Linked DNA regions of Caenorhabditis elegans. The protein of the gene in region 2 binds, or shares a complex with, the protein of the main gene of each other region. Each region holds a gene or a part of one and is shown on either strand. Other genes may lie near its edges.

What was found.
Region 1: dph-1 (region 2) and dph-3 share a complex: the UniProt entries of both Caenorhabditis elegans proteins name them as parts of the 2-(3-amino-3-carboxypropyl)histidine synthase complex.

Annotation. Positions count from the first base shown.
Region 1 is NC_003282.8:9,698,561-9,714,523, reverse strand, and holds dph-3 (Diphthamide biosynthesis protein 3), read right to left. Parts: upstream 7,378-15,963; 5' UTR 7,366-7,377; coding exon 7,259-7,365; intron 7,000-7,258; coding exon 6,864-6,999; 3' UTR 6,760-6,863; downstream 1-6,759. Other genes in the region: K01H12.4 (Breast cancer type 2 susceptibility protein homolog), read right to left, coding at 15-140, 187-274, 343-446, 497-548, 593-697, 742-871, 1,169-1,304; nhr-38 (Nuclear receptor domain-containing protein), read right to left, coding at 2,224-2,318, 2,368-2,552, 2,599-2,675, 2,723-2,830, 2,873-3,022, 3,213-3,355, 3,400-3,474, 3,522-3,682 and 1 more; ant-1.3 (ADP/ATP translocase), read left to right, coding at 5,266-5,275, 5,332-5,893, 5,938-6,307; dcaf-1 (DDB1- and CUL4-associated factor homolog 1), read left to right, coding at 7,806-7,975, 8,023-8,173, 8,224-8,517, 8,574-8,614, 8,697-8,847, 8,912-9,115, 9,206-9,507, 9,837-9,975 and 13 more. UniProt on the Caenorhabditis elegans protein: Required for the first step of diphthamide biosynthesis, a post-translational modification of histidine which occurs in elongation factor 2.
Region 2 is NC_003281.10:3,692,159-3,708,603, reverse strand, and holds the start of dph-1 (2-(3-amino-3-carboxypropyl)histidine synthase subunit 1), read right to left. Parts: upstream 1,719-16,445; 5' UTR 1,718-1,718; coding exon 1,637-1,717; intron 1,285-1,636; coding exon 928-1,284; intron 289-927; coding exon 1-288. Other genes in the region: WD repeat-containing protein wdr-5.1, read right to left, coding at 2,027-2,127, 2,179-2,836, 2,883-3,140, 3,204-3,317; C14B1.3 (F-box domain-containing protein), read right to left, coding at 3,648-4,341, 4,389-4,516, 4,565-4,832, 4,884-4,948; C14B1.2 (Conserved plasma membrane protein), read right to left, coding at 5,534-5,782, 5,832-5,963, 6,018-6,134, 6,179-6,277; pdi-1 (Protein disulfide-isomerase 1), read left to right, coding at 7,149-7,238, 7,285-7,668, 7,719-8,525, 8,576-8,752; cyn-9 (Peptidyl-prolyl cis-trans isomerase 9), read left to right, coding at 8,971-9,058, 9,110-9,237, 9,283-9,486, 9,884-10,207, 10,473-10,610, 10,661-10,708. UniProt on the Caenorhabditis elegans protein: Catalyzes the first step of diphthamide biosynthesis, a post-translational modification of histidine which occurs in elongation factor 2.

The DNA.
Region 1 (15,963 bases), on a different chromosome or scaffold from region 2:
CAAATCGATAAAACCTGAAGCCACAGCTTGACGCGTCCATCAGAGGAAACAAACTCCATTGGTTGATAGGCAAGACTATTGGATTTAGCAGTTGTAGATGCATATGAAAGGTCGACCGACACCATTGAACTCGGAGACAACTGAAAATATAAGAACATGTTTTTCTGCAATACAGTCAATTCGTACCGCCATTTTAGGTTTTCCAGTTCCCGCATCGTAAGTTGCTTTTGGAAAAAGGTCATCTGGCTTTGACTTCTTCAGTCCACGGCACTTCCTTCAAAGTTATACAGATATAAGAGGTTATTATTTAAAACAGAAAAAATCATGTGACAACAGGCTTACAAGTGTTTGATGTCCTCCAATGGCTCAATTGCTAGTTTTTCAATGTGCTTACGGTAGAGCGATTTGTTGGAACAAGAAGAAGCAGTTGTTGCACTTATTGAAACCTGAAAAATACGATAATTAATTTATTGATAGCTCTTAAAAGTAATCTTACGGTCATTTGAGGCTTCTGCTTTGCCGGAATGTAGATGGCACTTGGGAACAAGCTAAACATTTAAATTAGAAACAGGTAAAAAGGAAATTAACAAACGAGTCCGGGGTCGGTGGATCTTGGTCAATAGTGCTATCAGTTATTCCAGAATCACAAGTTTCCAATTGCTCGGATTTGAAACCAATTCGGGCTGGTGGGAAAGTTCTAAAAATAAGTTTTGAAATGATTTTTTCCACATTTCATATTACAATTTCCGATTCTTGTTAGAGTCACGTGGAGTACGAATGGTAGCCTTTGGTTGCTTCGAAGATCGAAGAATTGAATCAATTGAAATGGTTTCATGAGCAGCTTGAGTGATACTTATTGCATCTGGAGTTCCTGAAACAAATTAGATGGAAATAAAGGAAATTTCAAGCATGTAATATATATGATTGCTATTCAAAATTGTTAATTTCACCACATTGGGTTTTGTTTCGAATTATTCTACAATGTAATTCTCTGTCGCGAAGAAATGCATGGCAGGCAGATCAACAATTTTATAATGCTCCTATTCATATGTACGTGAAACTGAACGATTATCGGTATGTAGTACTTGCTTGTAAGTAATTTCACACAAAGATATCACTTGCAAATTTAAAACAATCGAAAACTGGAAAATAACCAAAAATCAGCTACCTTGGGATGCGACCGTTATGGCCGACTCGGCATCTCTTTCAATTACCAACTTTTCGAGAACTTGAGCAGCTTCTTGAAGAGTTGCTTCAACGTGGGCGTCAATTCTTCTATAAGCAAACGACGCTCCGAATTCCATTTTTCTGAACAACTTGATCTTTTTCGCTGGCCATTTTCGGACTTACATTGGATCGATATTTCTCCTTTAAAGACAGCGAATGGAGACAGACAAAGTAAACTTTGAAATTTTGAAACTGATTTTGTTTTGTTTTGAATTAATTTTATCGATAAGAAAGTAGAATACGGAAATATTGAATTTAACAATGCCACGTTCATTGTAAAATTTATTGGTAATTTTTAATCTCTAAATTTTTTCGCAACTTTATGTTAATTGTTAATTCCATCAGATTTCGCATCTGACTGTAAAGTCTATTAAAAAAATAATATATCAAAATTAATATCGGTGATCTGTTTTTATCAGTAGGATGATCTCTTTATGGAGGATTTATGAGTAGAATAAAAAAGAGTATTAGAAGGTGGAGATTAATTGAAAAACAACATCTTAACTGGTCACAAAAATTTGAAATTATTTTTCTGGTACTACAGATTATAATGAGGAATCAAGCTTTTAGAGTAAATCGAATTGATGGGGGGTATTAATTTTAGAAAACGCTCCTTTGTTCGGCTTATTTCTTAGAATTTGTTTTGCCAGAAATTTTTCAGATAACTGGAGCCCCAGTTTTGAGATTTTCCGCACTTGAACTATATGATTTTTTTATCTTGTAGATGTTTTGAAACTTAGATTTAAGAAAAAAGAAAACATGGAGATGAGCTTGAAATATACTCTTTCCCAGTTGGTTTTGTGACAAAATCAAAAGTTATCCCAATTATAATTTAGTGATGTTATTCTAACAATCGTGCAGAATTTTCAAAATATAAGATATCAAACAATTTTATTTACAAATTTACTTTTGAGAAGTACAAATTTAGTTTTGAGAAGTTCATATCAGCTGTTTAATTTTTAGAAACATTTCTTCAAAAAAATCGATTTATTCAAGTTATAAAATGCTTGAGATTGCATCTTTGAACGCCCGAGTTCCTTGATGAATTTGGGCAGATGTGTTCTGGATTTGTTCAAATGAAACAGGATCTACTGAAAATAAATTGTTGAATTAGTTTGAAATATTTTTAGAAATTGTTACCTCTGTTCAAATCTGTCAAAAGACTATCCCGATTCACATCAGCAAAACAATGTCGAAAATTGATTGGAACTGCTTCCGTTATGCATTTATAGAATAAAATGGATAAAAGTGGTTCATCGAAATTGCATGATTGAAACGATCGTGATACCAATTGAACAAGGAAACTAAATGAATTCAGAATGTTTCTGGAAATATCACATTTTTAGTTATTTCAGAATTAAGTTATAATACCTGTATGGGTTCAAATTGACATGTTGCTCACACTCCATAAACTCCAAAAATGGTTGCTCACTCAAATCAATATGGACCTAAGATATATATTTTTTAATTATGTCTTTGTTTTAATAAAACAAACCATATTTGGCAGAAACAGTCTATCTAGTTGGATTCCACCTTTTGTAGCAGTCAAAACACATGCTTCAAAGACAAAAACCAATAGGAATATGTCACCGAGTGGGTCGCTCTGTAAAGTTAATTTTCATATTAGTTAGTTGAAAATTATTACCATGAAATTATTATCCAAGCTCCCAAAGTGTGCGTAAAAATGTTCGATAACTTGCATGATCAAGGGAGATCCAGTTGATATTCTTCGCATAATTTCGTATTCTTGGTGGAGAGAAATTTTCAAGTTTGTACGAGTTGTTGATCGGGAAATCTGAAATTAATTGAAAAATTTAAATTAATGTAGAGAGAAGAAGAGAATACCTAGATTTATTCTACTTACAACAGATTTTTCAAATATTGAATAAACCGTTATTTATTCAAGATTATTCCATAATCTTAGTAAATATGAGTTAAGCTCTTATTTACCCTTAAAATCTCAATTCTTTCAAATCTCTACGTACCAAATCGAAAATCGGCCTTTCAGCTGCAATACTTCTGCGAAAAGCAATAATTTGATCGATTAGTAGAATGGAACTTTGATTCATATTTCGGTAAAGAGACGTGACATTTTGTTGTGATGAAGAAGTTCTTTTGGCTTTTACGTCTGGAAATTTGAAAATTTGATATTATTTTGAATATATAAATTACCTTGAGGCATCATTCCACTGCTCACACACTTCAAAAATCTGCAGAATCTGCAGCTTCCACCTCTCTTTGTTGGATCTTTAATTCTTTTTGTTACATTTATATTTTGTTCAACTTTAGATTACCGTGTACAATACTACATTGTCTATTAGAACATGAGTATACTTTTTGATCAGAAACACTGCGTCGGAAGAATGCACCACATGCAGCACAGCTTATTGCTCCAAAATGATATCCTTCGGCTTTATCCGAGCAAATTGAGCAGATCATCTCTTGAGGTGCTGAGCTGGAATTAAATTATGAATTGAGGGTTAGAAGGTGGAGATTTTGAAAATCTATTTTAATTCTTTTTTGTGTATTTTTAAAGCAAATACCGAGTAAAATGAAGAATAGAATGTGAGAATTAGATTGAACAGATATGTTATAGAGTGAACAAAAGCAACTGGATTCAGCCGTGAGAGCCTGCCTACATGGCTAAGTTTGCAAACCGGCAGGCTTTTTGACCCATTTTAAAATTGAATTAAACCTTTTTTTCAAATGTAAATTTTTGAAACTGATGCTCTTTCCAGATTTTATTGCAATCAGCTTGTAATCAATGTCATATTGTTGGAAATATAATATCACTTTGCAAAAAAAATATCATAAAACTATTCGATATTAAAACCATCTAAACATACATATTTGTGTTATTTTTCTAATTATATTTTCATTTCTCTTTTCATCGACGCTTTTCCTTGTGGAATAACCACTGAAAATAACTAAAACTATTACAAAACTCAAACAAAATCCTAATTCCAATTTCTGATAAAAACACATAGACCTACCTGTTCCACACTACTTGACTGTCATCCATCATCCAGTAACACTGATTATCAAAGCTTGAACAGTATAGACTCATGTAAGGTCACCTCAATAACTTAGAAGCTCAAATTTGCTTTATTTTGCTCAAAGTTCGAAGTGAAATAGATAAGTCTACAAATTTTTATACTACATCTGATAATCTTGGATAACAAGGTTCAGTTGCCTCCTCCTCTTCTTATCTCCATCTGATAAGCTTTTTGGGAGGGGTTTTCAGATTGAAGATGAGTGAAGAAGGTTTTAAAATACTTTTTAAAACTGGAATGACACACAGATTTGGACCCAATACGTACCAGATGCTGATTCATACTAATGAAGTTGTCTAGTATGAAGAAGCTTTTTGGTTTAAAATGATTGCGATTATGTGACGAAACGATAAACATATGTTTTAAGAGGATAAGGCTAGAAGAAGGAAGTTAATCTATTTTTGTATGATAACAGTGTTTTGTCACCTGTTTCATGTTGAAAATATCATTAGAATGCTCAACTTATTGATGACTTCGCAATTAAAAGAGGTGCATCCGAAAATAATTCACATATTCAAATGAAAACAAAAATAATTTCTTTCCGCTAATTTTGGGATTTTCACCTCGATTCCACATGAACAAAATTTTTCAAACCCGTGGGTCTAAATTTCGAGCAAGGAAAGAGTGCGCGTTTGAATGCTACAGTAACCCGCTCCGTTGCGGAATTCTTTGATTTTTCTGTTTCTTTTTCTTTTAGAACACTTTCACAGTGAAATCAAGCAATTTATACGCGATATTAAAAAAAAAGAATATTTTTAAATAATCTTTTATGCTTTTAAAAATATGTTTAAAAACGTGAAAATATATTTACGAGAACGTGAAAAACAGAAATATGAGTTTTGGAGTAGCATTTTGCATTATTCACGTGACCTCGGTTAAAGAAGCGCTTTTGCCACGTTTCACTGTCGATTTTTAATCGAAGGGCTCACTTTAGAATCAGTTCCGGTTTTCAACCGCTTGGATATCCAGCAGCACTACTGCAAGCATGACTGGAGGTAAGTAAATCTTAATCGATATTTCTGGTTTTAATTTAATATTTGTATTCTTTCAGGAGGAGATTCAAAGCCTATTGAAAAGAAGAAGGAGGATAAGAAAGGTTTCGATACCCGAAAATTCTTGATTGATCTCGCCTCGGGAGGAACTGCTGCCGCTGTCTCCAAGACTGCTGTGGCTCCGATTGAACGTGTCAAGCTTCTTTTGCAAGTACAGGATGCTTCCCTAACTATCGCCGCCGATAAACGTTACAAAGGAATCGTCGATGTCCTCGTTCGTGTCCCGAAAGAGCAAGGATATGCTGCTCTCTGGAGAGGAAACTTGGCCAATGTCATCCGATACTTCCCAACCCAGGCGCTGAACTTCGCATTCAAGGATACATACAAAAACATTTTCCAAAAGGGATTGGACAAGAAGAAGGATTTTTGGAAGTTCTTCGCCGGGAATCTCGCTTCTGGTGGAGCTGCCGGAGCAACTTCTCTCTGCTTCGTCTACCCATTGGATTTCGCTCGTACCCGCTTGGCTGCTGACGTCGGAAAAGCTAATGAACGTGAATTCAAAGGTCTGGCTGATTGTCTCGTCAAGATTGCAAAATCGGATGGTCCAATCGGACTCTACAGGTATTTTTTCCATTTTTATAATATAAGCAAACATTAATTTTCAGAGGATTCTTTGTTTCTGTACAAGGTATCATCATCTACCGTGCCGCTTACTTCGGAATGTTCGACACTGCCAAGATGGTATTCACTGCTGATGGCAAGAAACTCAACTTCTTCGCCGCCTGGGCTATTGCTCAAGTCGTCACCGTCGGATCTGGAATCATTTCCTATCCATGGGATACTGTTCGCCGTCGCATGATGATGCAGTCTGGTCGCAAAGATGTTCTCTACAAGAATACCTTGGATTGTGCTGTCAAGATCATCAAAAACGAAGGAATGTCTGCCATGTTCAAGGGAGCTCTGTCGAATGTGTTCCGTGGAACTGGTGGAGCACTCGTTCTGGCCATCTACGATGAAATCCAGAAGTTCATTTAAAGTCTTGAATTGTTTTTGTAATTTTAGTAAAATTATTTTAATTGAAATCTTCTATTTGTTACTCAACAAACTAAACACAGCGTCTCAATCTCTTCATTCAGAAAATATTTTTCTTTAGCATTTTCAGTATCGAACATTCTCATGCAATTTAACAAGGTAACTTCAATGAATCAACTGAGTTCTAGTTAGAATCGCATCATTTTGCAAACAAAATCCTCAAGCTTCCTTTTTCTAGAGAGATCCTCTTATCTCCTCTTGGCCGTTTCGTCACATAGTCACAATCATTTTAAACCTAAAAGCTCTTTTTATAAATACTATTAGTGTGATTCAGCAAATTGATATGGTCTAAAGCTGTGTCTTTCCAAATTCAACATTATTTGTCTTCAAGAAAAATTGCGGTTTTTTTTCACTTCTGTAAATTTCAACTTTTCTGGAATGCTAATTCGGAACAACATATCACGGAAGATTTACTCGCGAAACCCGTATCAATAAATCACGGAAGAAAAAGAATTTCACAGAAACTCTAATAACTAATATTCACAAAAATTAAAAATATTTAGACGGGTTCCGCGATTGGCTTGCTTGTCGAGATGGTCTCCAGTTTGACGAAATCTTCAGGATCGTAGATAACACGAATGAGAAGGGAGCAGCTGGGACATTGTGCTACATCTTCTCCCATTTCAAGCATTTCTCTGAAAAAAAAGTGAAGTTGGACTATATACGGAATAAATAGCTTTTTATTACAATGGAAATATGATTTTTCAACTAGGAAGTAAGATAAATAGATTGAAATAAAATCCGATTTCAAGCATGAATTAAAATACCCGAGTTGAGCCACTTACAATTAATTCGAGATTTCTAACAATTAGAGATTTTCGAAAATGACAATTGTTTTAAACATGAGAACTACTTTGCAGAACGGTTTGATTTTTTACAGTATTCAAAACTTACCTAGGGATTTCAAATCGATCGCCACAAGGGCATGGATAGTGGTACACGTCTTTCTCCTCGTCAAACTCAAAATCCTCAATTTCGACTTCGTCGTGGAAAACTGACATTGTTGTGTTACCCAGAAAAAATTCATTAGTTTATTGCAAAAAAAAAGGAAATTATAAAGTGAAACAAGGGGCGAGAGAGGTTGGGCGATAATTTTTTTTCGCAAATCAATTTGAACAATTGTTTCTAATTACAACAAATAATTTTCTAACAACCTATTATATTCTTAAAAATGATAAAAAAGTATTTCGCAAATAAAATAAAATAAAAATAAATCACAAGCTGTACGCAAGTTGTCGTCGTCGTTGGACTGGTCCGCAAACACCGTTGCGTACCGTACCCTTCTTCACATATTCGACTAATTTCGGATTTTCGACATTTCAACAAAAATGTTATTTTTCTTTTGGAGATTGAATTGCAAATCCAATTTCTTGTTGCATAATTTTAAATTGATTATTTTGCGTTAAAAAATCACAAAATCAATTAAGTATTTTCAGCCGTCATGACGAGCAAGGAGATTTATCCGCTCCGATCGACAGGAACAATGATGATGATATCCGATCAAGATTTGAAGCTGAGCACGCAATTAATGCTTCGAATAGCTGAATTACTATTGGAGTTTGATGCAAATCATGAACAATCGTCGTTTGATCCGATACCGATACTTAAAAGGTTAAGAATAGAGAACAATTATTCATAAATTAAATAAATCATTTCAGAATTTCTGAATTGTTGGAACAAGCTACAGACATTTTCATTAAAAACGACCCGGATCCTTTGGATGATCGTCATCCTCACAGGACTCATCCAGATTCTGCACTCGGCAACATTTTGAAAATTATATTCAAAAACGATGATTTCATGACAAAAGTGAGGGAATAAATAGATAGTTAATTCATATCAATGTATTTTTATTTCAGCTTGTTGTGTCGTATATTCTTGCCAGAGACAACGTAGAATTGAATATTCAAGGAAGTCGACTTCTGTTAGCCTGTATTCCTGGTCTCGATTCAAAAGTAGTTTTCTCAGAACCAGACGATTTCATTCCTCGCCTATACACATGGGCAGGATCAGAAGGAACAAATGAGACTTTACAAGGTTATGCAATGGGACTTCTAGCTGCTGCATTGGAAAATACTGAAAATGCGAGTAAATATCGAAATGAAAATGCTCTATTAGTCCCATTTGGACTTCGGCGACTCCATGAATTACAGGTATGAATTTTTAAAGTATTAAATAGGTCTTGAAAATGTTATTATAATTATTTCAGGGTCGCTCTTTGGAAGAACAGAAGAAAATTGGACAGACTGAGTGAGTTTTTTCAACTATTAATAGTATTTATCAAATTGTATTTATCAAATTATTATATTTATCAAATTATTATTTTTTTTAGTTTCTCCCAACTGCATGCTGAACAAAGTACAAGTAACGGAACTTCAATTCCTTCAATCAAAATCACTTCTGTTGATGGTTCTACAAAAGAGAATGAGAAAACCTTTGTACAATCAACAGATCCACCACCACCGAAAAAGCGAAGAACTGAGGTAGATTTCAGTCATTTTCTCTGCAAATTTTTGTATCTTTTTTCACAATCAGAATCATTTTCAGCCTTGCCTGACATCTCTTCTTCGAACGGAAATTACTCAGCGAGTTCCATCATTTCATAATCTTCGAAATTTGGATGATTCAAACAGTAAATGGGATATTCTTCAACCATTTCTAATTGGAGATCAACAAGTATATCCACTTAGTTTAGCTACATATCAACGGTTTATTCTACAATATTTGGCTGCATGTGGAGAATATCAGGATGTTAGTTATATATTTTTATATTAATTTTTCAATTTAAATTGTTTTGTGATATTTCAATAGTTCTTGATAAGATATATTAAATATTTTCAGCTCCTCCTTCAAACTTTTGAAGGAAATGCATTGGAAATCTTGTTCGACTACATTGATCTCGAAAAATCAAAAGATGTCCGTTTAACCTTTGATGCTTTAAAATATCTCACTTCTCTATTGGTACATCGTAAATTCGCCTTGGAATTCGTCAACAAAGGAGGAATACCGGCTCTTTTGAAAGTTCCAAAAACATCATTGGCTTCAGTTGGAGTTGTTACATGTCTGTATTACATTGCATACAGTAATGATGTCATGGAGATTTTATGTCAAATGAGCGATGAGATTGTGGATGAGACTGTACAGTGAGTGAAATGTATATTGAACATTTACAACCTCAAGTTTTTTTTGAATAACAATAAACCTAATAATTGAAAATATAATACTCCTATAGCCTAAAGAAGAGAAAATGCATTAAATCACAGAAATCATTCAGGTGATCATGCCACATGAAACATGGGCTCGTCCTTTTTCTTTGTATATGAACATATTTCGTACTCCAAACAATTTTTGAGAAGTCATAGTCTTCGGATTGATGTGTAAAGTTACTTGTTAAATTAAAAATTAAACTTATAAATACATTTTTTGAAATGCGAACCAAATTTTCTTTATGAAGACTAAATTATTTTTTAAGGTATGTTCTGTGGTGCTTGGAACACAGTCATGAAAGTGGAATGGCCAGTGCATGTATGTTCTTTTCTCAAGGATTGTTCTACAAGGCTATTTTAAGAAGATTTGATCAATATGATGGTCCACGGAAGCTGCATAATTATGTATGTTTCTCATAAGTTTCAAAAAAGTGAATAAATAATACAACCATAACTCATATTGTAATTCAGATTGCAACCCTGACACTAATGCAAAACAATGAAGATGTCGAACTCACCGAAGAACAAATACATACAAGTACACAGTGTACAAGAGGAGTTTGTACCACTTTCAGAAGGTTTTCTACATGATAAAAATTATTTTTAACTAATTTTAAATCATTTTAGTTACCTCACCGCTCACATTTTCATCAAAGTGGAAAACTATAAAAAGCTATACGGAAATAACTTACCAACTGGAATGCGATTTCCAGAACTTGTACAAGGAGATTGTCCAGATTATAAAGTATGTATTTATTAAGATATCATTGATTTTATAAAAATTTATTTCAGAGCATGAAGCCGTATGAAGAAGTTTGTTGGCAGTGCGAAGCCATTGTTACGGAAATGCTTCGATTCACCGGAAGTTCATTCAGAGAGGCTGAAAATTTAAGAAAACTAGGAATGGTTCGAATGTTTTTGGCGGTTAGAGTGTTATCAAGAGATTGGGAAAACATTTCTCCAAGGTAACTTTTTGAAATTAACGGTTTCGGAATAGGCTAATTACTTCCCCGAAGTGACCTAATTCCCTAATGAAACTTTCAAAAAAAAATCCGAAATAAAAACTCTACTCCCTTTCTGAATAAATGAGATAATTTTGTTGCAGTCTCCGCACCGAAATGTGTGTACACGCATTGGAAACATTGTGCATGATGTTTTGCCTTCCATCAATTCAAACTGAACTTATCACTCAACATTCCTATAATCACTCGAATTATGATGGTTTCACAATTCTTCTTCAAACATCTCTTGGACGATACGATGAGGATCCATCTCTGAGAATGGCAGCATTGGGATGTATTCAACGTTGTGTTTATGTGGAACCAGAATGCTGGAAAGCTATTATTCAAAGAGTCAAAAGTTCAGAGGAAAAGTCAAGCTCCGCGTCGAAAAGACAATCGAAATATGAAATAATCATGAATCATCTTGAACGAATGTGGACAGAAGTTCGAAAAACTGATGGAATTATGGCACTCGTCAACTTGATTAACTGCAAAATTCCACTGACAGAAGCGGATTCTATCCGAAAAACGGCAACTAACACATTAACGGGACTGGCAAGGCATCCGGAAGTTCGACAGATTCTTGCAAAATTACCGTTGATAGCTCATAATGGACTACAGAGTTAGTTTTAACGAAACATGCAAAGAAATTACATGTTTTTCAAAAACACAAAAAAACGTTAAAAAAGAGAACTGTTGATCGAAATTGCCATGTTTTATAAGTTCGAGTATTTTTTTTGAGTGGAAATATAATAATTAACAAGTTTTTCTGTCAGCGCCAGGCTAACAAAATATTTCGAATTTTTTGCTAACCTTCTTTCGAACATTACCAAAAATACATTTTCGCTCAAAAAAAAATTCTTCAGCCCTGGGGATGTGTAGGGCTGAATTCGAATTTTTTTCGAAGCCAAAAATGCCAAAAAGGATCTTATTATTATTAAAAAACGAAAATGTTTATCGGAATTACCATATTGCTATAATGTTGAGTGTATTTTTTTGAATAAAAAAGATGAACAACTAATTTTTTGCCAAAAAAACTAAAAAAGCGAACAACGAAAAATCTCCACAGATTTCAAAAAATCAAGTTTAATTCTTTTTTTTTCAGATTTAATGCGAGAACCAGTGTGTTCTGACAAGCGAGATATTCATGCAGCATTCTGCAAAGAAGCAGTTCAACTTCTTCAGGTCATTTATGGAAGAAAAATTCATGATCAACAAGGAAAAGAAATTCAATCGTCGGTTCGGTTTTTTCTAATTCTTTAACAACGTTCTTATATAAATAAATGAGGGTTTTCAGGAAAAGAGTCACCGTCAATGGGTCATCGAAAATACACAAGTGAGCTTCAATCAAGCAGAACTTCTTCAATTAATTCATGATCACTTGTTGAAAAGCAAGTTAGATTCAGTAGCAGCAATGCTGAAATCTGAAGCAAAGCTTCCTGATCGTCCAGCAAGTCGGTCAATCAATACTCCGATTCTCAATAAGCCATTGGTAAGTTAATATTTATTGTGAGAATTGAATCGTGACAGAAAAACAATCATTTTCCAACCTTTTTTCAGCCCAGCAGCGGAAATAATTTTTCAAAAATAAACGACACTTATCCAACATTGGCTCCAAGGACGCTTGAATCGGAAATTGGTGGAATTTCAGCAAGACGGCCCTCAAACGCAGCTTCACTGTCATCTCCCGCAATGGCTACACGTTCTCATTCAACAGATGACGATGTTTTCGCCACACCAACTTTACCTAGAAGTGAGATTTCATTTGAAGATTCAACTAAATTTTATATTAAGGATATACAACCAGTGGTGCTTTTCCAAAGAAGTTGATGATCAGTCCTGCACGTCAAAAACTGAGACCTCTGACTCCAGGAGAAAGTTCAAGTGGATATCGACCAATTAAAGATCTAAACAGTATTGTTACTGATTATTTCAGGTTTCAGAATTATTAATTATTCTTCGAATTCATTTTCATTTTTCAGAAACCAACATTCAACATGTAAGAATCCAGTGACAACGTGTCCTCCATTTTCATTATTTTACCAACACAAATGTCCCGAATTGTCGTATCAAACGAATGTTGTGAGAAATATTTCTCTTCGAACACTCGATCAAGAACTTCTTAGACCTCATGAAAGAGTTTATTCACAGTGGACAAATGAAAGAACTATTTTCTCAAGATTCAGGAACTGGAAAACTATACATGATCACGATGAATCGTATACGAAAGCCACATTTTCGGTGAGAAATATATAAATCAGATGTGGTTATTTTCTCCAATTCTATAAAATGACATGTTACAACATGTTGTTCCAACAGCTTCTATTAGAAAATAGTTTAAAAAAAAAGAAAATCGATTTATATGTATAAATAAAATTTATTTTAGTTGAAACATTTGAAAATTTAGTTAAAAATTACCTGAAAGATGCAAATTACAAATTATCGAGCTTCGTTTTTAGGCATTTAGCGACTTTTAGACCATTTTTGTGCATTTACTCAGATATTTCAACTGAAATAAATTTTATTTTCAAATGAACTAACTGATTTTCTCTATTTTGACACTTATTTTCAATAACAAATTTTGAAACAGCATGACACAATAGGTAACTAATTTTTTAGAATTACCGAAATTAATTGTCGCTCTCCAATGTATTTTTCAAAGAGTAATTCTAAAATTTCATAAAGGAAAAATTTAAAATCAAAATTGAAAAAAATTGTTTAATAAAATAATTTAGGTCGACGATGAACATCTTATCGTTGGTTTATTCAATGGAGAAGTTCATTGGATAAACGTGGATACTGGATTGGATGAAGGACACACCAATTGCCATGGAAGTGCTCTGACGAATATTGAACCTTCGAAGGTATGGCTACAAAAAATATTCTCTATACAATTGAAACATTTATTTCTAAAACTGAAATAAATAAATAAAAGTTTTCCAAATTCCAGGATGGTTCAATGATGCTCACGTCTTCAGCATTCTCTCGTCCACTATCCGCTCTTTGGAGACTCGGAGAAGCTTTACAACGAGTTCATACTTATCGTGAAGATTCTTGTGTTAAATTTGCTAACACAACGATGCAAAGAATTGTCGGAACGTGTAGAGATAAGGCAACTGTCTATGACACTGAAACAAATCATGTTTTGGACACGTATCTCTCTGGAATAGATGGACTACAGTACGAGAAAAATTACGCTTCGTTTTCGCCTGATGACAAGCTAATCTTCAATGATGGACTTCTCTGGGATGTCAGAAAGAAGAATTCGGTAGGGAGAAGACTTTTAAATTAAATTTAAAATATCAAATTTCAGGCGATCCATGTATTTGATCGTCTCTCCAAAATAACATTATTCGGAACATTCCATCCTCATGGAACACAGATTGTTATAAATTCTGAAGTTTATGATATTCGTACATTCCGGATGCTTCACCATGTTCCTGAGCTCAATCGTTGTCAAGTTTCATTTAATTCCACTGGTGTATGTTTTTATTATAATTAATGGTATTTTATAAATATTAATAATTTCAACATTTTCAGAATATCATGTACGCCACTGAAGTTACAGACGTTCATTGTCCAGACTATGATGAAAAGATCTTCTCGTCATTCCGAACGTTCGAGACCCGTGACTATTCTGCTCTGACAACTTTCGAAGGACGACGACCTGTCATTGATCTATGCGCATCACATCAAGATCAGAAAATGTGTGTGATTGAGAAAGTGCGTCCACAAATGTCGGATTACATGATACAAGCATCTACACAACTGAAAATAGTTGAAATTGGACGATTGAAGGATAATGAAGATGAGAATGACGAAGAGGAAGATGAACAGAGAGAGGATCACGATGAAGACGAAGATTCGGATGAATCTGGAGATGGAGATGATGATGAAGAGATTGGAGGAAATAGTTCAGATCGAGAATCCGTGTTTCGAACTTTAGGAAGAGTAAGTTTAGTTTTTTTTTCAAAATTTTCTCAAAGGTGGAGTACGGTCAGTCGGAAAATACAAAAAAAAACCATTCCACATTTTCCTTTGAACATTGGAATTATCATTCTGAACAAACTTCAAAATTGGAAAAAAAATTTAAATGTTTTGGGTAAACATATTTAGAAAAATTTAGAAAATTTCATAATATCTTTTCTGAAACTACCCAAAAAATCATCTGCACCTTTTTTTTGAATTTTTAAAACTTTCTTTAAAAAATCCATGTTTTTGTTGATCACTACATTAATCCTACAGTAGGACTAATTTACGCGCCCAGCACTGAAACACATTAAAAATTTCACTAACTAAAAACTACAGTAATCCTACAGTAGTCCGACATCCATACGGAATTTTTTTTTGAAACTAATAATTCTAAACTACTTCTACAGTATCCCATATTAACTTTATTTGGGTATACGAGTTTTAGTGTTCTATTGAAAAAAGAGTAACATCACTTCTCTTCCTGGTTTGTTTGTTCAGTTTCCTTTTGCTTGATGTTTTCTTCCGTGCCGAATGACCACACTAAAAATGTAACATCACTTTTTTTCAGTGGAATTTCTGTTCTGCAAATACGTTTATCACATTTAGAAGCGACACATCAAGTAAAACTTCCAACTGATGTGTTCTGTTCGTTCTGATTGTCTTCTGATCACGTTCTGATCTTGAAAGAAATGCGACACACCAGTTTCTGATTTCAGAACATTCTTTACCTGCAGAAATTATCTTTGCTTCATGATTGCTTTATTTGCGACTGATCACATTTAAAGCAAACACATCTGTGTTTGATGTGTTCTGACTGATGTAAGATCACTTTTGCTTTCTGCTTTTTCTTCTTTTCTTCAACAGAAATAATGCTTTTGACAGAGTTCTGTTTTGATTATGTAACTGCTTCAAATGTGATCAGTCACTTTTGAGCGAGACAAAAGCAAAGATCTCACGAAAAGCATTTCAGATTAACAGGAAGCAGAGAGTAGTGTGTCACTTTCTTATCAAAAGCAGAACCTGGTCAGAAGAAGTCAGAAGCGGAACATAAATTAGAACTAATCCGGCAGAAAATAAAAACTAAATGATCGAACAGTCAGACACATTGTGTTTGTCTGACCAGATAATTCAAGAAACTGAATCTTTTTTGCTTTCAGACCAGTAATTCTTTGATTTCAAAAGCAGTGTTCTCTGGAGTTTCATTGATTTCAGATTAGAATTTGCTTTTGGTCTCATTTCTTCTAGATCGATCACATTTGAAGCGTTTTCGTTCTTGAAGAAAACATTTTCTCCGAGGAATTTGCTTTTGTTCCAGATAGAGCAACGTTGCATTTTGCTTCGAGAGTGATCATTTTGCTTTGATCACTCTTCAAATTTTGGGCGGAGAATATGCACTATGCTTTCAATTAGTTTTTCCATC
Region 2 (16,445 bases):
CTCTCGTGTCAACTTTCTTGAATAAGGATCATACTGGAATGCTTCAATTTCTGGATTATGAATCATAATTGATTCGAGATGAAATCGTCCATCTCCAAGATAGACAATTGCATCGTATTTCGATGCATCCAATCGTGGAGACGTACATCCCAGAACTTCTCCAGGTGATAATGGTTTACATTGTGGAATATCAATGCGAATTGAGCTGTCATCTTTGTTGAATGTGGTTCGAAGGGTTTGAAGTGAAGGGATGAATTGAACAGTACTCACGACGACAAGACGTTTTCCCTGAAAATTTGAGATTTGAAGAAGGAAAAGAATTGGTTGTAAATTGGGTGTCGGTTTTCAATTTTAATCGAAAATTTTAGTTTTTCCGATTTTTTGAAAAAATTTCGGGAACCCTTTACTTTTTCTATTTTTTAAAAAGCAATTTTTCGTTCTTTCGACATTTAGAAAAATATATTAACAATGAACTAGTGGCCGCCAAACCTCTAAAACGATCGTGTGTCGATTTACGCAACTCGTGTACTCCACGAGGAGAAGAATTTTAGTTTTCGGCAAAAATTCAAGAATTACAGTTATTTTAGCCAGTTTTCTTGTATTATTATTAATAAAATAATACATGACTGTATTTTATCTAAAAACTGCTAATGTGTTGCATATTTATAGTGTTTTAGATGAAAATTTCCGTTTTCACGGTTGAATAGCTACCGATTTTCAATTCCTATAGATTTTCAACAGTGACAATATTGATTTAAATATAAAACACTGAACAATTTTCAAAAAATTGACGAAAATGGCCCAAAATCATGCATTTCAGCCGTCCAAAAAGCGTAAAATTCTCCTCGAGGAGTACACGGGCTGCGTAAATCGACAAAGGACCGTGTTAGGGGTTTCCAACGGCCATTGTTTCTATTCCTTATGTACCTGAAAATTCTCCTTCACACAATCGATCAAATGTGATAGATTAATGTGAATATTCACAAACACATAAAGCATCGCAATACCATCAGTATTCTGAATCGGTACGAGACAACTGTGCCCATAATGAACTAATAGATCACATCCCATTGATTTTGCAGTGTAATCGTCGACGCAGCAGGCTCCATAGGTGACGTCACCCATGATTACTGTATCACAGCCAGTGTACTTTTCCAGAATATCGGCAATTACGCAGGCATACATAATGAGTCCTTCTGGAAATTGGAGTGCAACGTATTTGCTCTCGGTCGATCGAATTTTCCATATCGTTTTTGGAACTTCGAATGTGTAATTTGAGGGGAGCTGAAACGTTATCATTCGTTGAATATTATAGAAACGCAGAAAAAAAACCCTTTTGAAATCCACGTGGAAACGGGCTAACGATGGGTCTCGTTAGGTTTTTGGCGGCAAAACTGGATGTTCAAAAGTTTTCAGTTAGTTTCCCCGATTTTCAAGCATTTTTCGTTGTTTTTAATGATTTTTATGCCGAGATTTATGAAAAAATTTATTTTTTGACATCAAATCATTAAAACCAATTGAAAATGCTTTGAAATCGGGCAAGAATAATTGAAAAATTCGATTTTCGGTTTCTTAACCTAAAGAGACCCATAGTTCAGGGGTGGGGCGTTTACTTAGAAAATCTGCGATTTCTTACAATTTTCAGATCTTCTTTAAGATTGGGATTATTTGCAATTTCCTCAACTAGCGTCGAAATCTGTGTAGCCCGAGTTGCCATTCTAAAATTTTCAGCCTCAATCCAGAAAAATAAAATTAAATCTGAAAATCAAATAGAATATCGAAATAAAACGAATCAATTGAATGATCATCTCAATCATCCCACGGAAATTAATATTTATGGATTTTTATATTAGGAAGAATATATAAGGAATGACAGAAAATACGAAGTTTCAGAAAAAAAAGTGTCTGGCCACCGCGCCTCTATAATCAAGGAATATAGGAGATCAAGAAGGAAAAGCATATATACACGGTGACCAAGGGGTAAATATAAATCAAATTTTCGAAATTTTAATTAAATTTAAACAATTTAAACATCCGAGCGCCATATATGAATCTTGTTGTCTGGCTCGAGAGCTCCTGAGGCAATGATGTTCTGAACTGGATGACAATCGGAGGCTAGCACGGGTTCTGAAATGGAAAAAATTTAAATTTGCATTTTTATTTTATTTTTCGACTTACGTGTGTGTCCTTCAAGACATTGAACTATTTCCCGAGTCTGGAGATTCCAGATGTAGATCTTACAATCTTCGGAACCACTGATGATCCATTTTCCACCGGTAACAGAGAAGTTGGCGAAGATGCAATATTTGCTATTCTCGTGTCCAGTGTATTGTTTCAGGGTTTTTCCTTTCGAGAAATCCCACAATTTCAAAGTGCTGTCGAGGTTCGATGCGAGGATGTATTTTCCGTTTGGAGAGAACTTTACAAATGCCACCGGAGGATTCTCGTCGTCGACCAGAGTCTTGATGCATTGCCCATTGGCAGTGTCCCAGATACGAACTAGACCATCGTAGGATCCCGATGCGATGAGGCTGCCGTCTCTGTTGAAAGACACTGCTGACACTGGATCTGAGTGTGCTGGGAGGGTTTTTATGCACATTCCTGTCTTGACATCCCAGATACGAACGGATTCATCGAATGATCCGGAGACAACGAGCGATGATTGTGGGTTGAAATTGCAGCAGAAGACGTAGTTATTGTGTCCTTTCAAGGTTTTGGTCATTCTCGACGTTACAATTTCGAAGATTTTCAGTGTTTTGTCGTCGGAAGCAGAGACAACACAACGGCTGTCGGAACTCCATGCTATATCGTTTACACCCAGTTTGTGGCCGGTGAGCTGAAAATTTAAGGATTAATTGTAATTTTCATGAGCGGAAACATACAGTTCGCTCACAAATCATGTGATCCATGTTCCAGATTTTGACGGTTTTGTCCGCGCTGCTTGTTCCGAGATACTTTCCACATGGGGAAAATTTAGCTGAAGAAATCGATTTTGTGTGTCCTTCCAATGTACACATCAGCTTATAATTTGCTGAACCCGAGGCTGAAGCTCCGGCGGCGTTTGGATTGGGAGTTTGGGCACTGGCACCTGGAGCGGGTGTGCCAGTCGGATTTGATGGCGAAATTGAATTGGGAGAAGTCTGGAAATTGACTATTGTGAAGTCTTATTCAAAAATATACTATTTAACAATAACGAAACCTACAGATGGAGCAGGAGCTGAAGAACCTCCATCCGGAGCATTTGGTACTGTTAATTGATCGATTTGTTGTGTTGGCTGTTGCTCGGCAGCTGAAGCAGCATTTTCGCTGGTATCCATATCTGAAATCACAGCAAAAATCAAAAATTAAGTTGAAAAATGAAGAAATTCATTCAAAAAATATAAAATAGAAATCGTCGTAAGATGCAATGTGCGGTACGCAGAGGCAAGGGTGCATGCACAGCGAACACACAATTTGACGCGCAATGTTTTTGCAGTTTTTTTTTCGGAATTTCTTTTTTTTCGTTAATGAACTCATGTCATGACATGTATCCGTGTCTGATACGTGTTAAAATATTTATATATTCATTCGATTACAGATATAACAAACTTTTCCAGTCATACAAACACTTTATAAAACAGTTAAGCGAAAAATTGTCGGTGCATTATTTAATCTTCCTCGTCTTCATCTTCATGACGAGCCACAGCGGGAGGAATTCCATACATGTGACGACCACGACGAAAGAGTGGCATTCTAAAAACTCCGACTCTTGGCGGTACTTCATCATCGTCATCATCCTCGTCTTCAGCGTTAGGATTCTCGTCTTCATTGCATTTTTCGGAATCAACAGCGAGTGGTTTAACTATTGGCTCATCAGGCAGAATAACTTCGACTTGAATATTGGCAACTTTTGGTCCGTAGAATCCTCTCCAAAATTGTCTATCTTCACCTTCATTCAGAATAGTTAAATGTCGAATTCCAGACGGGTAATCGTCAAACTCAATTGTCCAATCTTCCCAAGGTTGACCAGTCCATTGAGCCCATTCCTTATTTACAGATTTATATCTTTTATGATCAGTGTTGCTCATAGTTTGTACATGGCCAAATCTTTCAATCCACTGAGTCTCGTGATAGTTCAACTGAGCAGCAAATGAGAGCCTGGCTGCACAATCATTACGATGATTGACTTTCTGTGTAATTCTAATTCTCGGGCGAACGTGATCCAAGATCCATGGGTCAATTCCAGAGTTCACCAAATCGATGAAAACACTGATTGAGCTCTCTGTGAATGAAAATACGAAGCACTTGGAAACATCCGGATGTGGTTCACAACCGTTTCCTCCATCTCTTTCCATGTGGATTCTGAAATTGTAAATATTGATTATTTTAAGAACAAAGTATTGACATACCCACTGCCATTCGCTCTGATTGAAAAATCATCTGAACGGAGAGTTCCACTTATTGTGTTGTCACGTGCATTTTCAAAATGAGAAATGAAAAGCGGAGTGATTGGTGAGTAGCCTCTTCCAGACAGAACCTGAAGTAAAACTTTGTAATTTTATTACTATAAAATGCGATAACCTACTATTTTTTTAATATTAAAATTAAAACTTGAAGTGTCAATTTCATTGTCTTCATTTCCAACAAACTTCTTCTGTGTCGCTGCTCTTCTCCACTCCAAAGATGGAAGAACATTTGATATATTTAAAATTCGAGCATATTCAATCCAAAACGAGTCACTTGATATCAAATCATTGAATCGATGGCAAGCCAATTGGCAGTTTAGAAGTGATTTTTTGTCCAGCCTTCGGAAAATTGGCGAGAAACATTCGTTCGGCACAGTTTCTGCATCTCTGAAATAATTCTAGGTGAAAAATTGATATTTTAATTAAGAAAAAACTCACATTATCACTGGAACATCGGTTTTGAACTGTAGACTTTGCATTATCGATGAGAACGCTTTAAACATTTGGGGTCGATGAGAACAATATTTTTCGATTTTAAAGAGAAGAAATGAGTCAGAAGGAGAGAGACGCAGAGAATGGAAGTCTTGCGAAATGCGCATGCATGTGATATTCGTGTTCCAAAAAACTATCACGCTGTTAATATTATTATTTTAAAGCAAAAATATTAATAAGAAAATATTCAATGCTATTTTGAGAATGAGAAAAAAACTTTCTGACAAAAATATTGAGAACCTCTAGATATTCAACTTCTTTATATATTTTATTTTTTTCCTCATCTTGCTGACTGCAACTTTTTAGATTAGTTGATATATATTTGTCTTTCTCTTCTCTTAGTTTTACAGGTTACGAAACATTGATGATCTTCCTTATCCAAAGATACGTGGACAGCAAGAAATAACTTGTCCCACTTTCTAGGTTATCGCCGCCAATACCAAGGTCAAGCAATTCATGTTCTTCAGATTTGTGTTTCTAAAAAGGAAAAAAAAACGAATAACCGTGTTTATGAAGAAATACTCGTGCAATAGGAACCTGTCAAATTGGAATAGATTAGTGATGCTATTTACAAAAATTTTGAACATGAATTAGAACTAGTGATTATCATCAAATTCCGTGGATAAATCACTGCGGAGATCAGGGTTCGGAATGGCGATTTGCTCATCCTCTCGGACTTCCAAAGCCATCTCGAAATCTTCATCTTGAACGGGACCTCTTGGAATCTCTCTTGTTGCAATACTGGTCAATGGGACATTATAGTCGGGGGAATCGTAGGCAACGTGTGAACTGAAGGTGTTCCGTTTCTTGCGCTCAGTTTTTCCTTCGCTCAGTGACATGAGTGCCTAAAAATTCAATTATCTAGCTTTAATCTTTAGTGTAATCATTTTTTACCAGCTTAATCGTGATGAAAACGTAAATCAGAGCAACGAGAATGATGTTGAGATAGACTGCAAACCAAATCCTTGTCGCCTCATCCTTCTTCAGATTTGTCATCAAGCCGTCCGACGATCTGCGCGACGTGGCCTAAAAACGGTTGTGTCAATATGACCCCTCCCACCGTCGATGTTATATACTTACTGTACTCTTTCCGAAAAGACCTGTCACAGAGTCAAACATTCCTCTTGTTTTCTCAGCTGCCGTATTCAACCACGACGGCACCTCCACGCGTTGACCGAACAATTCGATACTATTATCCTTTAATATTTATGTGTTTTGATATATCCTCATTTTGAGCCCACCTTCGAACGTAATCCTTCTGCCATCGAGTCTTCAGTCTGGTTTCTCACATAGAAACATTGAATTGAAACAACCAGCAACAGGATTAGTGGGATTTTCATAGCGGAAACCTGAATATAATGTAATATGTATGTGACAAAATCACGAAAGAAAAAAGAATTTCCAAAAAAAAATGAAATTAGAAATCATTGAAACAAGTATTTGATTGTCCACTCGGACTACACTGTATACAGCGCTTCGAGACCATATCTTTAAATCCGGTGCGTCTTTAAAAGAGTGATTATTTGACCCAGTTTTTAAAGTCATTTTTTGAGCTAATTTTAGTTCCAAAAACAACTTTTTTGATAAACTTGCCCATTCCGAATAAATTTTTTGGGTTCAGAATAATTTTAAGTTGAAGATAAGCATAATTATATTCGAATAGACTCTCATTTCCGGGCCGTCGACGTTCCTTTAGCATTGTAGTTGCACAAACTTTCAGTTCGATGTGTTTTGTTCATTTTCTCACTGTTTTAAGGTTTAGAACACAATTAATTTTCCATTAAATGCGCGAACTCTCATCTCAATAAGTCATAAAGGTCGCCACGGTGACGTCCACGTGGACATCTCCCGTACACGCGTATGCTGACGTGTCAATACTGCACTGTCCATTCGTCTTGCAGTTTCGCGGTCCTCGTTGTCTCTGCCGGGGCGTTCACGGTCTCTTCTCTTTCTCTCGTTACTCTGTTTTACAACGTGCGCTTATTCTCCTTCTCTTCTCGTCGCTCGCACTCTTCCTAGCAGGTTGTGAACGACGAGGATTTTTTAAAAGAAAAATTGACTGCGTTTGTCAATACTCATACCCTACTTTTTTGATCGCAAAGTAATGGCTAACGTATTGTTTGCACACTTATCGTTGTCTATACCTCTTTTCTCTTCAATGATAACTTCCTCAAATTTTCTATTACTATTTTTTTAAATTTTCAGGTAATTATGTCACTGTCAGTGTCCTTTATCTTCCTCCTGGTCGCATCAATCGGAGCAGTTGTTGCTGACAGCGAAAACGTGCTTGTTCTCACTGAAGTATAACATTTATTCTGATCATTATCTTCTAAAAAACTGTTTTCAGAGCAATTTCGAAGAAACTATCAATGGAAATGAGTTTGTTCTAGTCAAATTCTATGCTCCATGGTGTGTACATTGCAAGTCTCTTGCTCCAAAGTACGACGAAGCCGCCGATTTGCTGAAGGAGGAAGGATCCGATATCAAGCTCGCCAAGGTTGACGCCACCGAAAACCAAGCTCTTGCATCCAAGTTCGAGGTCCGTGGATATCCAACTATCCTCTACTTCAAGAGTGGAAAGCCAACGAAATACACCGGAGGACGCGCCACCGCTCAAATTGTCGATTGGGTCAAGAAGAAGAGTGGACCAACTGTTACCACTGTTGAGTCAGTTGAGCAACTCGAGGAATTGAAGGGAAAGACCAGAGTTGTTGTTCTTGGATACTTCAAGGTATTTTTTTACATAAAAAGTACAACCTATTTAATTTATTTATTTTTCAGGACGCGAAATCTGATGCTGCTACCATCTACAACGAAGTTGCTGATTCTGTCGATGACGCATTCTTCGCCGTTGCCGGTTCTGCTGAGGTTGCTGCTGCCGCATCTTTGAATGAAGATGGAGTCGCTCTTATCCGCACTGATGGAGACGACAGCGAGACTAGCACAATTGCTGAAGCTGAAATCACCAACACCATCGCTCTTAAGCAATGGCTCCACGCTTACAAGCTCTCTGCCGTGACCGAGTTCACCCACGAATCTGCTCAAGAAATCGTCGGAGGAGACCTCAAAAAGTTCCACTTTTTGATCATCCGCAAGTCAGACTCTTCTTTCGATGAGACTATTGCCAAGTTCACTGAGGTCGCTAAGAAGTTCCGTGCTAAGATCGTCTTTGTTCTTCTCGACGTTGATGTTGAAGAGAACGCAAGAATTCTCGAGTTCCTCGGAGTCGATGCCAAGAACACCCCAGCCAACAGAATTGTCAGCCTTGCCGATCAAGTTGAGAAGTTCAAGCCACAAGAAGGAGAAGATTTCGAAGCTTTCACCAACTCATATTTGGAAGGAAAGTCTGCTCAAGACTTGAAGGCTCAAGATCTTCCAGAAGATTGGAATGCACTCCCAGTTAAGGTTCTCGTCGCCTCCAACTTCAACGAAATTGCCCTTGATGAAACCAAGACTGTCTTCGTCAAATTCTACGCCCCATGGTGCGGACATTGCAAGCAACTGGTTCCAGTTTGGGATGAGCTTGCTGAGAAGTACGAGTCCAACCCAAATGTTGTCATTGCAAAGCTTGATGCTACTCTCAACGAGGTAAGAATTTTGAAAGTATCAATATTCATAATTATTATTTCCATTTTCAGCTTGCCGACGTCAAGGTCAACTCTTTCCCAACCCTGAAGCTGTGGCCAGCCGGATCTTCTACCCCAGTCGACTATGATGGAGACAGAAACCTCGAGAAGTTCGAAGAATTTGTCAACAAGTATGCTGGATCTGCTTCCGAATCTGAAACCGCATCTCAGGATCACGAAGAGCTTTAAATTAATAATATATATGTTATTTATTGTTTGAAGTCACGGCGTTGAATTGTGATTACTCGTTTTTTTTTGTTTCCATCCGTATATATTATATATATAAAACCCTAAAAATTGAATCCCGGAGAATGTTTTTTGTTTCGTTGAGGCTTCTGTGAAATTATATTTCTTTATTTCGGAATTTAAAATTTCGAATCGAAACCAAAACCATTTTCAGGCTGCGAATGGCCGCTGAAAAAAGAGTGTTCCTAGATATTTCAGTCGATGAGAATCTGATTGGAAGAATTGAAATACGACTTTTTGTCGAAGATGGTTAGAAATCTGCCCAGAAAATTAATTTAAAAAAAATCAATTATTTTTCAGCACCTAAAACATGTGAAAACTTTCGAGCATTGTGCACAGGAGAAGTCGGAATGACTCCAAATAATAAAGCACGGCTTCATTACAAACAAAACGAATTTCATAGAATTGTAAAGAAGTTTATGATCCAGGTCCGGCGGTTTTTAGCTGAAATTTTTGAAAAATTGACGATTTAGGGAGGAGACATCACAGAAGGAGATGGTAGAGGAGGATTCTCGATCTACGGACGATACTTTGACGATGAAAAGTTCAAATTAAAGCACTCAAGGCCCTATTTGTTGTCAATGGCCAATAAAGGACCAAATTCAAATTCTTCTCAATTTTTCATCACAACGGCTGCAGCTCCACATTGCAATGGAAAACATGTTGTTTTTGGAGAGGTGCATAATGGATTTTAAAGAATATATTAATTTTATAATTATAAAATCATGATTTCACGAGATTCTAACATAAAGGCGCAGAGATTTATTCAGATGGGTCTCGGCGCGAAAGACAGTTTATGGTAGTCATTTTTGAAGTTTTGCGTCTGTTTTCACTTTGTTAAAAATTGTTTTTCAGTTTTAAAATAAAAAGTAATGTTTTGTTCATAAAATCATTTTTACAGGGAAAACCGATTTAAAACGATTTCAAAATAACAGAAAAATGAACAAAAAAACCAACTACTATAAATTTTTAGCACGCCGAGACCCATCTCTTTAAAGCCGTGCGCCTTTAAGTCAAAATCTGTTGAAATTACGATACTTTTATACTTTAATGTTAAAATAAATTGAATTCCAGGTTGTCAAAGGACAAAACGTTGTAGATTACATCGACAATCTTGCGGTTGATGATAAATCGAAACCACTCGCAAAAGTTTTGATCTCCAATTGTGGAGAACTCGTGAAAAAGAAGAAACCATTGAAGACAGATGAAGAGCTCGCCGCTGCTCTCGAAGAGAAAAATAATAACGCAAGGGACAATGAGATCCCGAAATGCCCGAAATCTTGGCTCTATCGTGATGATGACAATGAGAAGAAGCATGAAATGAGAAATGATAAGAGAAGAGAGTATCGATCGAGAAGATCAAGATCTAGATCTCATGAGAAGAATCGCGACTATAAGGTTTATTTTGTAATGAAAAATTCGGTTCCAGGTCTCGCCACGAAAAGAACCAAATATTTTCGAATCAATCGATCAAGAATTGAATTTCGCTGATTTTTCGATTTTTAATGGAAAAAATTTGCAAAAAAAAAAGTTTACTTGATTGGAGAAATCTAATTTTTAGCATCTTCCTGTCATTTCTCCATTTTCCACCAAAATTAATTCCCGATTTTTTGAAACTATTTTAAAGTTAAATTTCTTAATTTCTTAAACTAGATTTTTTCAGAAAGAAAATCGAGGAGATTCTTCGCGAAGCCAACCTCGCAGAGATGAAAACGGAATTACTGTACGTGGGCGTGGAGGAGTACGCTTCCGACGCGAAAGATCTGCGACTCCGGAGCACTGGAGAAGAAATGCGCCGACGGTATTTTAAATCTGAATAATTATAATTTTTAAATTGAATTTTTGTTTCAGAAATGGGTTCACGACAGCCACAAACATCCAGAAGAAGATCTCGTTTAAATCTTTTTTTTAAAATTAATTTAATTAATTCGTTGTTTTTATTTCCAGCTCGGTGCAATACAAATTTTTTAGTTTATTATTTTTATAAATAGAAGAAGAAACAACGGAAAACACGCATTTCTTGTGGCAGTCTTCCGGTTTCTCTTCTCAGATTTGTACCTGACACGGATACCTTTGATCTCTCTCTCTCTCACCTCACTCGTTGAATAATTTGTGAGAACCTGGCATATTCTTTTGTCGGGGGCTCAGAGACAACTCCTCCTACTCGAGAAGCTTCGAAAAGAGAGAACAAAGACTAAAAAATCGTTATGCTTGATTTGATTCCGGTACTCCCACTGGTTTTGTTTGGAGTTTCTTTATTTTTTTCGAAAATTGGTTGAACTTTTTTTTTCAACTTTCTTACAAAAAATATTTTTTGAGTTTAGAAAACTAAAAAAAAGGTTTTTTTCTGTTTTCAGGTACGTTTTCTGGAAATTTCTAGCGTTATTCTTGGCCTCACGGCCTCCACCACGAGAAATGCGCACACTCTCTCGCTTTTTGTTTGCGCGTTTGCGGACGACCACCTTGCCTCGCCGCCGCTTTCAACAGATATTCATGAAATTGAGCTAGAATCGCTATTTTTGAACGAAATTTTGAATTTTTTTCACAGAAATAGTGAAGTTGATAAAATGGGAAGGCGGAACTTACAATAAATAGTTAATACGAGCTGTTTTTCAGTGGTTTTTAGCAAGAATTAGATGGAATTAGAAGAATTATGGACAGAAGAGCACTTTTTTAGATTGAAAATTGTTAAATATGATACGATGAGTGTATTTGAACGGTTTAAATAAAGAAAATATGTACGACTGTGGCTTCGGGTTGATTCTCGCTCTTCTCGTGGTGAAGTGTATGTACTTTATGGACTTTGAACAGCTACAACTTTTTTCGCGTTGGAGATAGAAACTAGCGGTGAACTGACAAAATGAACATCACAAATAGGTGAACATTTCTTAGTTGACAATTTTTTGATATCTCGTTCCACTAAAAAGATACAGCTATGATTTGATGAATGAAGTCCCAGTTACAGTACCCTCTCTTAAAACCATCAAATCTCTGTCCTCGCTGAAGATACAAAAATATTTTCAACTGAGAAAATGTTAAGCAGATAAAAAACAACATTTACCAGCAAAAACTACATTTCTATCTACAAAAATAATGGAGATTTTGACTTTTGAAAAGTGATCATCTTAAACCGGCCATATCAAAAAATCCTAAACATTAAAATTGGTTTTTTTATTGGGAAAATACTCTATATAAGATATCTAACACATTTGCAGTTGACTACTTTCTTCTAAAGTCTTTATTTTTTGAGTTATGAACTGATCTCTGATTTTCTCATAAGTACGACTTTTGGGGTCTATATTATCTGTCTTACTAGTTAGAAAAATATTGTCAACAGAAAAAATGTTCACAATGTCAAACTGAACATTTTGTTAGTTGACAACTTTTTTGTAACTTTCATAGAAGCGGAGATAGGAGCATCCAAAGTGTGAGGGCGCAGTAGAGCGGGTACTGTAGTCGCCACCCAACCTTCTAGATCAAAAAACATATTTTCAACATTGACCAATTTTTATGTGTGATATGTCAATTTGTGCGTATTAAAAATTATTACAATCGTATTTTTTCCGATTTTTCAGTCCAAGCCAAGAATTTCCTGAAAATTGCGAAAAACCTGAAAATTTGGTCATTTTAGTACTGTAGTCAATCTTCTAGATCAAAAAACATATTTTCAACATTGACCAATTTTCATGTGTGATATGTCAAAATGTGCGTATTAAAAATTAGAACAATCGTATTTTTTCCGATTTTTGAAATCTTTCATTTTACGGTCACTAGCTTCCGGAAAGTGCTGAAATTTTGAGCTGTAAATGTTTGATGTCAAAAAAAGTTTCTCTCATAACTTATTTATTGGGGTTTTTTTGTATTAACTCATTAATTGGGAATATATTGAATACATTTTACAAAAAAAATTTGGGAAAAAATCTTAAACTTGCTCGTTTTAGAGGGGAATGTGTAATATTATGTTCACTCTCTTCACTTATTTCAATGACAAAACTATTCTGTGAAATTTATGCCAGACTGTAGAGGACAGTACTCTGCATCCGTTCCAATTGTTTCTTTTCAGAAATATGCATTTTCCTTTCTTCCCGACTCCTTCTAAGTGAGGTGGTTGAGCGCGCACTCTCGCCATGCTGTGGAGGTGAGAGACGCAGAGACCGCCTTTTTCTCTGCGCTCTCTCTGCGCATTTCTCGTGGTGGAGGCCGTGTGGCCTAAAGCCTAGGAATGGCCGCGAGAAGAAAAAAAACTCGGCCACCATTATTTTCACGGCTATGTTCCAAAATCCTCTTTCTGTGACATAAAAAACTATAGATATTATACATATTGTAGAGACGCAGAAAACTGAAACAAAGTGCAGACGCGCTCCACGGACAAATGAAAATGCTCCGGCTACCGTAATTTGGGTCTCGTTGGGTATTGGCGGTAAAGTCGTTAGTTTGAATTTTTTCAATGGTTTTCACCGGTTTTCTAGCATTTTTGAACATTTATTCCCGTTTTTCATACAAAAATTATTGAAAAGAGAACTTTTTCTACATTAATTTTCAATAATTCACTTTGGCTTTGAAATCGGTGAAAATAATTGAAAAAGTCTGAATTTACGGTTTTGCCGCCAATACCTAACGAGACCCAGCTGTTGTGGGAGGAGCGTTTTCATTTTGCCTTGGAGCGCTTTTGCGCTTAGATTAGTTGTTTGAGTCGCTAATGTAATATTAGAAATATCTGAAATCAAAGCACAAAAAATAATATTGAAAATCGGATTAAACTAACAAAACACATGAGAAGTAGGCGGCCTTTTTCGGCAAGTGTTGCGACTATTGGTCTCGACACGATCGAAATATTCTTACATCAGTTTTAGCAAAAAAAAAACGCATTTCACGACAAATGTCTGAAAAAGCGTGCATGAAATCGAATAAAAATCAATTTTTTTGCCTCGTTTTCAGGAATTAAAGTGGAAGCCTCTCAATTAAATCTCAAAACTGAGTCCATTGCTCTCTAGACTCCCGCTTTTCCTCGAATCCTCCCCCGAGCACTTGTTTTTTTTTCAGACTGAACTATCAAGGTTCCTCTTCTTTCCCCTCAAGACTTGTTTCTCTATATCATTCTTGAGTGTTTTTCAGCAGTTTTTTTCAGCTTTTTCTGATTCGATAGCACCTTCTTGGCGCAATAATCTCATTGTTGACATCCGGCTCTCGCGCCTTTTTCCTGTTTTTTTTTTCTCTCGAACAGCTCTTGGTGCATCATTTGGTGTTTCACTTGAGAAATATGGCAAGGTGGGTGGATTTTTTGTTGTTGCGAACTTCAATTAATCTCAAAATAGTGAAAAATGAATTTTTCATGTAAAACTAGTTATTTTTTTCAAGGATATGTAATGTTTCTTACGCTTTTAATTATTATGCAGACCCGAAATTTTGCGATTTTTGCACGAAAAATATGGTCGGTCTCGACACGACAAAATTGTGTTATACATATCTAGAAAGGGATGTGCGCCTGTAAAGAATACTGTACTCTCCAAATTTCTTTTGTTGCTGCCGAATTCTTATCGATTTTTAAAATTTTTTTAAAATGTATTTTTGATTGTTTTATTCTGCTTGGTTTTCAATAAACAAATATACTTTCTTAAATAAAAATCTATTCAAACTGGAACTACAGTACTCTTTAAAGGCGCAAACCTTTTTTCATTTAACAATTTTGTCTTGTCGAGACCGGGTGTCGTATTTTTCGTCTGGGTAATACGAACGCTGTGTTTTCTTGGCTTGAAAACAGAATTAAAACAGAATTTAAAAATCCTTTCCTTGAACTAAATAATCCCATTTTCCTTCTTTTCACAAGGACTACAGTACTCCAAATTTGCACCTGACCCGATCTAATTTCCAGTAATAAACCAGATTGTGAGAACTCCAATTGCAAAAATAAAATTAAACAAGTGGTCTCTGAATTTATATCCGTTTATGCTTTTGAAATCTAATTTTCTTCTCAATTTCACTCGCAGATTTTTTATGTTTTTTGCATGGACTTTGTGTTTCAAGATTGTTATTTTAAAAGGTAACATACTTTTTAAAAACTAATAAAAAATTCATTAAGATGTTAGCCATACGCGAAACTTTGAGATTTTTTTAAGAGCTGAATTTAAAAAAAATTTAAAAAATTATATTTCAAATAAACTAAAAACATAATTAAATATCATTTTTGCAGTAGTATAGTTCTAAAAAAGAATTTCAGTTTTGACAAAAATACACATTTGACACCGCCCCTCCTCCAAAAAATTTAAAAAAAATTTCCCCCGATTTTTCCTTATACCGTATATTCTCTATTAGTGCTGCATGTAGCACTAATTTCCAGGCCCTTTTTAAATGAAGCACTATTAGAGACTGCAGTACTACTGGAGACTGCAGCATTAATTTTCGAACGGCTATTTTCAATTATAGATCACTAGTTTTTAGTCACAAAAGCTCTTTTTTTTAAGCAGAAATTCATAAAAATTGCGAACTTTTGTAACAAAAAGACCCAATAATTCAATTAATTTCGTAAATTATCAAAAAATCATCAAAAATATACAAAAAAAATACCCAAAAATATCGAAACAGTCAAGTGACTCTTTCAATAGAAAATGGGGTGCAGCACTAATAGAGACTGCAGCACTATTTTTTGGACCCTTTTTGAATGCAGCACTATTAGAGACTGCAGTACTACTGGAGATGCAGCACTAATAGAAAATATACGGTATATCTCGTCCATCTTTAATGATATCAAAAATTTGGCAACTACAAAAATGTAGAATACAATTTTTTACATAACTTCGCAGTTCAAATTGTTTTGCTATCATCTAGCTGAAACCTTAAAATTTATGTTTTACCATCACTCTTCAAAATTGGAAAACGTTTTCCAGAATGTTCCGAGTGTGTCGCATAAAATTACATTAACTCTCCCTTTTCTGTCTCTCTTTCAACATTTAAATTTGCACGATTAAAAGAAGATTCCACCGGAAGATGTGTGATCATTTTAGAGTCCAGAAGATTGGCTCTTTTCAATTTTTGAACCAAATGTTTGTGTTACATTTTTTTAAATTCTGAATTAGAATATTTTAGAAAACTATTGAAGCGATGAAATTTAATTCCAGAATTTCTTTGTTTTTGTCCATTGGAACTCATCAAAAATGAATGTGGACAAGAAACATTTTTTTTTGGGAACAAACACGTCAAGCCTCCCACTGATTTTTTTCAGAACTTTTTGAAAAATAAATTTCTGAAGTGAGATATTATGGGTGGAGTCTAAATGGGCTTTATTTTCGCTTCAAGACCTGTTCAAAAATTAATTTATTACCTTTAAAAATTGATCAAATAATTTTTGGCACTATTTCCTTCCAAATTCCTACTTTGACTATTTTTCCAAAAATTCAATTTTCAATTTTTTTTCCCAAAATCTTAGGCGCGAAATTTAAATTTATATTTTTACATAGATATCTAGATTACCATTAGATTAGATTAAATAGATGTGCAAAATTAAAAAATAGAATTTATTTTTTGAACAATTTGGCGCGAATTTAAAAATTCGGATATTTTCCAACAAGTTTTGGTTCCAAATTAAAATTTTTGTTGAAAAATTATCGTGAAATTTAAATTCCGCGTATAAAAATAGCTT